Linked DNA regions of Oryctolagus cuniculus. The protein of the gene in region 3 purifies or fractionates together with the protein of the main gene of each other region. This does not show direct contact. Links are inferred from orthologs where the notes say so. Each region holds a gene or a part of one and is shown on either strand. Other genes may lie near its edges. The genes, in order: OTUD5, CD44 and SLC7A11.

Region 1 (3,653 bases), on a different chromosome or scaffold from region 3:
TGGAATGTGTTGATAGGTTCTACAGGGCAAAAGAAGGAGGGAGCATCCAGAGGGCCAGACATGGCAGGCTTGCATGAGGTGCCACTAGTCCCCCCTCCCTACCACAGAAGTACCTGTGCTGTATTGGTACACCTCCACGGGACGGTTATACATCTCTGCCATGGCCTGCATCTCAATGTGGTTGCCATGGCAGTTGTTTTTCCGCTTGCGGTTGATGTAGGTGGTGAAGTCCTCTGTGACATAATTGGAAAAGTAGTCGGCATTCTTCATCTGCAGAACAGATTGGAAGGTCAAGGTCTGTGTGGAGAGGAGAGATCCTCCCCCGCTGCCTGACCCAAGGCCTGCCCAAGATCTCACCAGATAGTCCATGCAGTGCTTTCGTACAACCTCATGCATGTCCTGGTCTCCATACACCTGGTCAGCTGTGGGGACAGAAGGAGGCGCGAGGGTGAGAGCTACCACTAGAAAGGACTTCTGACTCACAGAACATCTTCAGGGGAGGGGAGCCAGGGGACCAGGGAAACACTCTCCTACTCCAAGGTCAGGACAGCTCTTGCCCTTGTGGCCTAGTTTGGGGTCGTGGAAAAAGGGACAGGCAGGGACAATCTTGAACAAGAGTGCAGCTGAGAGGGACATGATCACAGGCTACTCGAGCAGTTGACTAGGACATGCATGGCCACTCGGACAAGTCACCAACATTCCAAGTTCCACAATGGCCTTGAGCACTATCCATTCCACAGCCTCTCTCTTTCCACATGTGAACAGACTGCAAGGGCTGTGTGGAGCCTGTGACAGACATCAATTCTGGAATTCAGTTTCAGATGCCTGATGTCCAAGAGTCAGCATCGCTTTTGTAGGTTTAAAAAAGAAGAAAAGAAACTGAGCTCTATGTTCAGTTCTAGCAAATGCCAGTGAGCTACATGACCCAAGTATTCTGAGCCCCGTATGCCTTATCTGTAAAATGGCAACAAGATAGGCGATGCCTAGCAAGCCTCTTGTGGAGACTCAATGAGTAATAGTATAAAATGATGAGCACTGAGCTTGGCACAGAGAAGTCACTCAGTGGTATGAGTCCCCTCTCCATAGTGAGGATTCAAAGTGGGGTACTGTGAAGGTAACTAAACTCCTGCTCCTGCCTTCAAGGAGCACACAGTCTAGTAAGTGAGAAAAGCACACAGGCACCTAACTTCAGTTTAATTCATGGGCAGCTCGTGGCCCAAAAGATTCAGGCATCACGGGATTCAGTCAAGTGGAGGCGAGCAGGAACCAGGCGCCCTCTGCCTCACTTGAGGATCTTCACCCATGCCATTCCCCTCTTCATGATGCTCTTCCATCCTCCCCACTGCCTGCTCCTCAAACTCCAACCTGTTGTGTGACACAGTTCCCTACCTTCCTGGGCACCCGTGTCACACTGATCCAACATGGGCACACACTTCTACTGGATCACACCAGGTCCCCACTAAAGGGAGAAGGCAGTTCATACCTAAGTCCTCCCCCAGCTCAGTAAAGGAAATCAGAGAAAGTTTGCCAGGCATATGGATAGGCAGAGGCAGCCAGGGAGCTCTTCTCTCTGGGAAATTAAAGTGGGCTTAAAGATCAGGCAAGGGGCCGGTATTGTGGTGTAGTGGGTAAAGCTGCTGCCTGCAATGTTGGCATCCCATATGGGCGCCAGTTCAAGTCCCAGCTGCTCCACCTCCAATCCAGCTCTCTGCTATGGCCTAGGAAAGCAGAAGATGGGCCAAGTCTGTGGACCCCTGCACCTGTGTGGGAGACCCAGAAGAAGCTCTTGGCTCCTGGCTTCGGATCAGCACAGTTCTGGCCATTGCAGCCAATTGGGGAGTGAACCAGTGGATGAAAGACCTCTCTCTCTGCCTCTCCTTCTCCCTCTGTGTAACTCTTTTAAATAAATCTTTAAAAAAATATCAGGCAAGCCATATTTCCACTGGCTGAGACAAAGAGGGAATGTCCCTGTTTCCCCTGGGGACCAGTGCACTGAAAGGATCTCCTAGGGCCCTGGGGTAGGTAGGGTCTGGTCACACAGGAAACACCCAGAGTTCTTCCATGAGCATCAGTGTACCTCAGAAGAACTGTTGGAACTCACTTGCTGCCCTCCCCTTCCCTCCTTGGAGGGTTCTGTGAGATAAGGAGAAAGGTTGCTCTGAGGGGCCAGTGTGGCAGCTCAGCAGGTTAAGCTGCCACTGCTGGCAACACCAGCATCCCATATGAATGCTGGTTTGAGTCCTGGTTGCTCCAGTTCTGAACCAGCTCCCTGCTAATGCACCTGGGTCTTTGCACCCATGTGGAAGACCCAAAGCTTCTGGCTCCTGGCTTCAGCCTGTACCAGCCCTGGCCATTGTAGCCAGTTGGGGAGTGAACCAGTGGATGGAAGATCTGTCTCTTCTTCTCTAATTCTGTGTTTCAAATAAACAAATTAAAAAGAAAAAGAAGGGGGCCGGCGCCGCGGCTCACTAGGCTAATCCTCCGCCTAGCGGCGCCGGCACACCAGGTTCTAGTCCCGGTCGGGGCACCGGATTCTGTCCCGGTTGCCCCTCTTCCAGGCCAGCCCTCTGCTGTGGCCAGGGAGTGCAGTGGAGGATGGCCCAGGTGCTTGGGCCCTGCACCCCATGGGAGACCAGGAAAAGCACCTGGCTCCTGGCTCCTGCCATCGGATCAGCGCGGTGCGCCGGCCGCAGCGTGCCGGCCGCGGCGGCCATTGGAGGGTGAACCAAGGGCAAAGGAAGACCTTTCTCTCTGTCTCTCTCTCTCACTGTCCACTCTGCCTGTCAAAAAAAAAAAAAAAAAAAAAAAAAAAAAAAAGAAGGTTGCTCCCAGACAGAAAATGGGATGACGTCCCTCTCAATTCCTCCTGGAGGTGAAGAGAGACCTGAGGGAGGGAGGTAGGAGCTGCAAAGGCGGGAAGGGGGTAGCCCCTTCACAGATGTAAACAAGGATGTGGGTTCTGTGGCCACACTCTTCTCGGCCCCACCCCCAGTGGCACTTCCAGCAAGTCACATGTCCTGCATACAGGTTGGGGGCCCCCTGCTGCTGCCTTTCTTAGAAGCCAGGACCGCACAGCCTGCTGTGACTGCCGGAGCTGCTTGAGGAGCTATTTCTGTGAGCGGAGCCTTGGGTGCCCGGGGTGTCCGGAGGTAGTGCAGGTGACAGCGCTGTAAGCAGTTGCAGTAAACAGAGACTAAAATGGAACTCAAGGGGTTAAGTAGGGGTTGGCCTACCAGGCTCAGGGAGGCAGGCTGAGGTGTTGGGTGAAAATGTATCTGCTATGGAAGGGGTTACCATTTCCAGGCCTGGGAGCAGACATAGGACAATGGGAAGAAGGGAGACTGTGGGACAGAGCTAAAGCTGGGGGTAGAGCCCCATTTCCCTGTCATTGACCCCTTTGCCTGGCAGGCAGAAAGGCTCTGTCATCTCTGCATGGTATCGAACAGGGCCTTTAACACCTCTGGGCCGGTAACTCCTTCATATTGCTAGCTGCCCACCAGTCAGCCAGAATGCTACCAGAAATGCATATTAACTCCTTCCTCATTCTTGTTGCACTTCCTCAGCGTGAGGAAAGCCCCAAATGTAGTGCCTAGACTTGGGCTGTCTTTCCTACTGCAAGCCGAACTGGTCTCTATCTTCACTAAATACAAAAG
Region 2 (3,653 bases), on a different chromosome or scaffold from region 3:
ATGATGGTTTCTCTATGTTTAAATTGGCCATCTCTTTTTTATTTCCTTTTTTCTCTCCACTTAAGGCAGGACAAGGATAGGATTGCTTTGATGGTTGTGAAAAAGACATTTTTGGAGCCATATAATCACAGAGAATAGGGAAATACCATCAGTCTACAGAGAAGTCATGTTGTTGACAATTGACTAAGGTGGCAAGGTCCTTGGAGCAAAAAAGGAACTGTTACTAACATCTCTATTGCTAAATTTCCAGAAGGGAGCAGTGTTAAACTTCTAGTAGCCTTAATTTCTACCATATGTACATGGATATACTAGCAACTTGCCCAAAATCACTCATAATTTCTTGGAAGAATTTGAATGAAATCCAAAATTAAGAAGATGTCATTTCACTGCTTGCTACACACGAGTAGAGTCCTTTGTATTAGCCCTTATGCAAGTGAAATGTGTTGATTGTCAGTGATGTACACAGCACAGCATTAAGCTTAAAAGCAGATACAAATAATTGTGAATGGCCCCTGCCAATGAAGGACTCAGGTTTCTATTCTATCTCTGTTGACTTCTATACTGAGGCTGGGGTTTGGAATTTGGTGAATGTTTCTGTCCTGGTTATGTTATTTATTTGGTGGTGGACATGACTTAAGTGATTGCTTTATGGATTGCTTGCACCTGCAACTCAGAGGTCAGTACCCTTCTTAGAAGAATACAAGGGAAATGAACTCAAAACAGCCAAAGTGATTTTGGAGATGGGCTATGGTTCAACTTCAAATTGATCAATGTCACTGGGAGCCTTGTGTTTGCCCAGGCAAGCGTTTCCTTCATGCAATGATAGGAATCCCATCCACAGATGAAATTAAAAAAAAAAAAAAACACCTACAAATAGAGTAAAATGGTTATTTTAATTGTCTTCTGAAAAGAGTTAAATATTTCCTTGTATAAATTTGATCTGAGTGGCCGGTGCCACGGCTCACTAGGCTAATCCTCCGCCTGCGGCGCCGGCACTCTGGGTTCTAGTCCTGGTCGGGGCACCAGATTCTGTCCCGGTTGCCCCTCTTCCAGGCCAGCTCTCTGCTATGGCCCGGGAGTGCAGTGGAGGATGGCCCAAGTGCTTGGGCCCTGCACCTGCATGGGAGACCAGGAGAAGCACCTGGCTCCTGCCATAGGATCAGCGCGGTGCGCCGGCCGCAGCGCACCGGCCACGGCGGCCATTGGAGGGTGAACCAACGGCAAAGGAAGACCTTTCTCTCTGTCTCTCTCTCTCACTGTCCACTCTGCCTGTCAAAATAAATAAATAAATAAATAAATTTGATCTGAGTTACTGGAGCAGGCTATACTGGATAAACGTCTCTTTTGTGGGGTTACAGGTATACTATGGGCTATCAGAGTATTTATTTTCCTTATGTCACACTTCTTGACACACAGTTAAGTACTCTTTTTTAAATTAATTTATTTTTATTTAAAAGTCAGAGAGAGGGACACACACACAGAGAGAGATAGAGAGAGACAGAGACAGAGAGAGAGAGAGAGAGAGATCTTCCATCCACACATTCACTTCCCAGATGGCCACAATGACCAGGGCTAGACCAGGCCAAAGTCAGGGACCAAGAGCTTGATCTAGGTCTCCTATGTGTGTGTCAGGGGTACAAGCACTTAGTCAATCTTCCACTGCTTTTCCCAGGCCACTAGCAGGGATCTGGATCAGAAGTGGAGCAGCTGGGACTTGAATTGGCACCCATATGGGATACCGTGTTTCAGGTGGCAGCTTTACCTGCCATGCCACAGTGCTGGCCCCAGTTAAGTACTCTTTTTTTTTTTTTTAAAGATTTTTATTTACTTGAAAGTCAGAGTTACACAGAGAAAGAAGGAGAGGCAGAGAGAGAGAGAGAGAGAGAGGTCTTCCATCCGCTGGTTCACTCCCCAGATGGCCACAATGGCTGGAGCTGCACCAGTCCGAAGCCAGGAGCCAGGAGCTTCTTCTGGGTCTCCCAAGCGAGTCCTTGGGCCATCCTCTACTGCTTTCACAGGCCATAGCAGACAGTTAGATTGGAAGTGGAGCAGGCAGGACTCAAACTTGTACCCATATGGGATGCCGGCACTGTAGGCGGTGGCTTTACCTGCTACACCGCAGTGCTTGCCCCCCAGTTAAGTACTTGTTGATAGGAGCACTGGGACTCAAGCATTCCCTTTTTCTAGGTCTCTGTATTCTCTGGTTTTCCTGAGCGACTGGGAACAATACTACAATTGGGCCAGGGTGAACCAGGGTGGGCAAAGTTCTGGCTCAAACTTCACCTTGGCTCTTAACCTTCATTGCTTATATTGGGAAACAAAGGGATCAACTAGGGGCAAGATAGAATTCTTCTGTATATTTATGTCAATCCAGCGAGAATGTGCACCCATAATGGCTTTTCTATGCAACTATCTCTTTGCCACTGATATAGCTTGATCCTCCTCATTATCAGACAACAGGATATGTATCATAGCTCTAAATTAATGCTGGATTCATCCCTCATCAAAACAGAGCAGAGCCCTCTCCAGAGCTTCTCGACATTACATGGAGGCTTGGAAGAAGATAAAGACCATCCAACAACTTCTCTGACATCCAGAAGTAAGGATGAAAAAGCCCAATTAGCTTGGGCAATTGATGAAAATCAACAAATTATGGGTGCTTTGCAGTGTCTTTGGTGGTGGTGCGTCCATTGACTGCTGTTACGCTGTTACTTTTGAGCAATAGGTGCGTGTGGTTATGGTTCTCTGATTTTTCTGCTTTATAGACCTCTTAGAAGCCATTATACTTTAAACGCAAACTTAGTTCTTAATCTTAAAGATTGGGTTTCCTAAGCTTTTTAGTGGACGCCTTGGTTTTAAAATAATGGATTGTTTATGTATGATTTATAATTGGTGTAGAAGTCTGACTATCTCACTCTCTGTATTCCTTGCATTAATAACATTATTTTGCCATTTGTCCTCTGGACCATAGCTCCATGGTACTGGTGACAAAGAAGCAGTGCCTTTCTGGCAAAGAATAATTGAATTAACAAACTCAGGTCTTTGAAACTTTGCACTTGTTATTCCAATTGCAGGCAATGCCATTTTACTTTTCAGTCCAATGGTGTGTTTCTTCTACCTCATCAAAGGTGGATCCAATGGAAAAAGAGCTCAAGATTATCTAGTGCCTGAGTTGCCTTCAAGGTCACAGTTGTAGTAGCATAAGCCTTACCTTAATAACCCAGGTAGATGTTGTAATGAATACCTCATCTGGGTATTAGATCACTAACTAGACTCTTCTGTTGAGTGATGTCCAGGTGGCATGTATTGCAAAATATTGATTTTGTTCAATAGTGTGACAAAATTCCCTCTTTGGCTCATTGCTCATGGGTAACACATGGCAAATTTTCGCAGCAATTGCACATTCTGAAGACAAGCACACAGTGGGTGGTGATCTTAGAAATGTGGGTTTATCATGGACTCCACCTCTACACAGATAGGACTCATGGCAGAGGAGGAAGAAGAGGTGAAAATCTCCCTGCTGACTCAACTACTTCCCTGCAAGGTTATACTCCTCACTACCCAGAAACAAAGGAAAATAGGACCCTCATCCCAGTGACCCCTACTAGGACTGGGGCCTTTGGAATGACTGAAGTTGCTGTTGTTGGGGATTC
Region 3 (3,653 bases):
CCTTTATCATTATTTCAATATAATAAGTTTTAAATAATGCAGAATTGTTCAAAATTAGAAGAGTCTTAACAATGAGTTGTATACTACTCTGAAGTTCTTTGATATATAAAAAAGGAGACATCTAACACCATAAAATTCATGATGAGTATTAATGGATAAACTTAATAGTTCTGCATTTGCCACTTACCATAAATAACAGAATATAAGCTCATTAGAGTGTGCAGCTTTATAAAAGGAGTATTCAAAAGTTTCATGGAAAATATGCATTATGTTTTAATTCCATTTTTCCATGAACCTTGTGAATCTCCTTGGAGGTCTGATAAGTTTACCTATACCACTAGTTCTCCACTTATTTCTACTGAATTCTGTCACTTTGGATGGATGTAGTTAGCCTTTGGGCCATGTAACCCAGTACACTGCTCATATGATGTCATAAGTTCCCCCACAAAGTTGAAAGCAATTTGCTATTCAGCGTGACTTAGCACTATTTGTTGCCAAGACAATCAGGAAGAGGAACACATTCTTAAAACAATAACAAAAAAGATTTTCGCAACTGCAGCTCATTGATTTGCTTAAGGTGAGGAAGTGAGTCATTTATGGGATGTAAACTTAATGTTTTGTAAAGTGCAGGTCTTGGTGACACACCAAGTTGTTATTAGGCATAGAAATTTCTTAGTCACGAAATTGAATAGCTAAATGACCAAATGATATACCCTGTAATTCAAACAAAATCTCCAAGTCAGCATGCTGAACTTTGTCAGTCAGTCAAAAGGTACGATTTATCAAGGTGAACTTTGATGCTACATATCCTTGCAAGTAAGCATCTTTCCTAGAAATGTCACGGAAAATAATTCAAGATTAATAAAAAGCATTACCTTAAAAGTGTGGCATTTTTAGTGAACTGTTGCCAGTGACAAATATGTTTTAAAATGTTAATTCAGAAAGGTATTTATCACAGACTTTATATCCTAAAGTTTACATGTTTACAACACAGTCACAAGAGATGCATATTTCTAACTAGTAAAAATAACCAAGGTGACTCAGAAGAATGACATACACATAGGTTTCTTTTTTCTTAATATTTTTCTATGTTCTTACCGTATTATGAGCAGTTCAACCCAGACTCGTACAAAAGCTAGCAATGGACCAAAGACTTCCAGAATATAAGTGTAATGGCCACCAGATTTCTTTATACTTGTTCCCAGTTCAGCATAGGACAAGGCTCCTGTGAAATATTTATAATAAAAAGGTACAAATTTAATATATTATCAAGCCACCCAGCAGAAGAATCACTCAAGCAATGTTTATGTTGCCTGAGTTGTAACTATTTCCTTGGGGTGAATGGCGTCCTTATTTCAAGACAAATAACCGCCATGTACTTGCTGAAACCTACCAAGTTCCTCTTCCAAATTCCTCTCTTGGAGCTCTAGTTCACTGTATTTGAACAATATAATTTTACTTAAAATGGTAAGGACAAACTTCTAAAATAGTACCATAGGTTTCAGAATTTTGAGTTGAGCAAGGGAAAACTAGAAGGTGGATACCCATCATAGTGACTTGTTTCGTGAAGAACAGAACTTCATACCAAAATAAATAATTGTCCCAACCTGACCTTATTATATTGAGAATCCTTTAACAAATGATACTTCCATAGCAAGTGAAAATAAGTAAATTTTTGGCTGCTCTCCAGGAAAATATGGATCCTATGACCTGCGAGACTCCATTTCATTTGTAGGATATATATTCTGTGATTGAAATGAATTTTGATTCCATTTTTTGTTGCTAGAAAAGGTTATTTGGATGTTTGTGAAGTATATATTCTGGGTGGTTGAAAGAACATACTTTTAAAATTAAAAAGGGATGTTACAGTTTATATTTAAGAACACTAGGTAAAATTACTTATAAACAGAAATGTTAACATTTAGGAATGCAAGTCACATGGAATTGGGCATGAAATATAACCTCTCAGAACCTCAGTTTCATCTCCTATGAGATGGACCTCAATTTTCACTTCACAGGGGAGTTGTATGCATATATGTGACAGCAGGAGATACAGCTATATCTATATATCTATTAACTTGAGCAATTATGAGAAAATGAAAAATAATATTATTTGAAAAGTTTTATCTATACTGCTAAACACTCAAATGTAACATACAACTTTTGCCCAAGTTTCATCAGAAACAAAAGATGGAAAAATGCTACTAATCAGTTATGCTTTTGGTACAGCTATTCAACAAAAGTAAATTTTGAAGATGCAGTGAAATCTTAGTAGCACTTTATCCCTGAACATAGCACTATGCAAGAATCACCTGGAAATAATTTTTAAGTAGCAAACAAATGTTCTCTCTCTTACTCTTTCCCTTCTTCTCTCTCTTTGCCTCTGCCCTTCAAATAACTAAATAAATCTTAAAAGGGGGGGTGGGGTGGCCAGTGCTGTGGCATAGCAGGTAAAGCCAATGCCTGTAGTGGCCTCATCCCATATGGGCATGGTTCAAGTCCCAGCTGCTCCACTTCTGATCCAGCTCTCTTCTATGGTCTGGAAAAATAGTGGAAGATGGCCTGAGTCTTTTGGGTGGTCTGGGGAATGAATCAGTGGATGGAAGATTTCTCTTTTTCTCTAACTCTGCCTTTCAAATAAATAAATAAGTAGATAAATAAATCTTTAAAAAGAAAAAGAAAACAAATGAGGGGCAGACACTGTTGTATAGCAGGTAAGGCCACAGCCTGTATTAGCGGCATCCCATATGGGTGCCGGTTCAAGTCCTGACTGCTCCACTTCCAATCCAGCTCCTTGCTAATGATCTTGGAAAGCAGCAGAAGTCTGCCCAAGTCCTTGGGCTCCTGCACTCATGCAGAAGATGGGGAAGAATCTCTTGTCTCCTGGCTTTGGATAGGCCCAGCTCTGGCCATTGTGGCCATTTGGAGAATGAGCCAGCAGATAGAAGATCTGTCTCTCTCTGTCTCTGCCTCTCTGTAACTCTACCTTCCAAATAAATAAATAAATTTTAAAAAGAAAAACAGGTTGTCTTTAAAAAATAAATAAAGAAAAGAAAACAAATAAAAGACAGACTGTAAGACCACACTACACGCCTACTCTCCAATAGAGTTAAGCTCCCATAGGAGGGACCAAGAATCTCTCATACAAAATGTTATTGGAAAAACTCTTAAGTACCTCAGAATTTATTGTCACAAAATCAATGCCTACACCTATGTATGCTTTGCTGTAACTCCAGGATGGTTGCTCTAGATTTGAATTGAGTTCTAGGGGAATAGGATTTTCATTTAAAGATTTCAAGCTCTATAATCACTTTGCATAGATGAAAAACAAAGTTGAAAACAGGATGTAAAAATCTATCTATTGACCCTGGCTTTTAAAAAGTGCAAAGCAAAAGCTTGCACTTAGCCTAGTAGTTATGATGCCAACACCTCATATCAGAGTATCTGGTTTAATTTCCAACCCCAGCTCTAACTCTAGCTTCCTGGTAAAGCAGACCCTAGAAAGCAATGGTGATAGCTCAAGTAATTGAGCTTGTGCCAGCCAAGTGGGAGACTTGGGTCGCATTCCTGGTTACAGGCTTCAGTGTTGGCCCAGACCTGGTCATTCCAGGCATCTGGGCATTTAGGGACTGAACCAGTGGTTAGGATCAGTT

Evidence for each region.
Region 1: the proteins of SLC7A11 (region 3) and OTUD5 purify together in Homo sapiens (affinity purification with western blotting; 3 studies listed by BioGRID, with this or other methods). This does not show direct contact. The link is inferred for Oryctolagus cuniculus from reciprocal best matches to the Homo sapiens genes SLC7A11 and OTUD5.
Region 2: the proteins of SLC7A11 (region 3) and CD44 purify together in Homo sapiens (affinity purification with western blotting; 3 studies listed by BioGRID and IntAct, with this or other methods). This does not show direct contact. The link is inferred for Oryctolagus cuniculus from reciprocal best matches to the Homo sapiens genes SLC7A11 and CD44.

What each region holds. Positions count from the first base shown.
Region 1 is NC_091453.1:34,106,590-34,110,242, forward strand, and holds part of OTUD5 (OTU domain-containing protein 5), read right to left. Parts: intron 423-3,653; coding exon 358-422; intron 271-357; coding exon 114-270; intron 20-113; coding exon 1-19. UniProt on the Homo sapiens protein: Deubiquitinating enzyme that functions as a negative regulator of the innate immune system. Has peptidase activity towards 'Lys-48'- and 'Lys-63'-linked polyubiquitin chains. Can also cleave 'Lys-11'-linked ubiquitin chains (in vitro).
Region 2 is NC_091432.1:30,782,391-30,786,043, reverse strand, and holds part of CD44 (CD44 antigen), read left to right. Parts: intron 1-2,512; coding exon 2,513-2,599; intron 2,600-3,475; coding exon 3,476-3,653. UniProt on the Homo sapiens protein: Cell-surface receptor that plays a role in cell-cell interactions, cell adhesion and migration, helping them to sense and respond to changes in the tissue microenvironment.
Region 3 is NC_091439.1:26,522,491-26,526,143, reverse strand, and holds part of SLC7A11 (cystine/glutamate transporter), read right to left. Parts: intron 1,226-3,653; coding exon 1,099-1,225; intron 1-1,098. UniProt on the Homo sapiens protein: Heterodimer with SLC3A2, that functions as an antiporter by mediating the exchange of extracellular anionic L-cystine and intracellular L-glutamate across the cellular plasma membrane.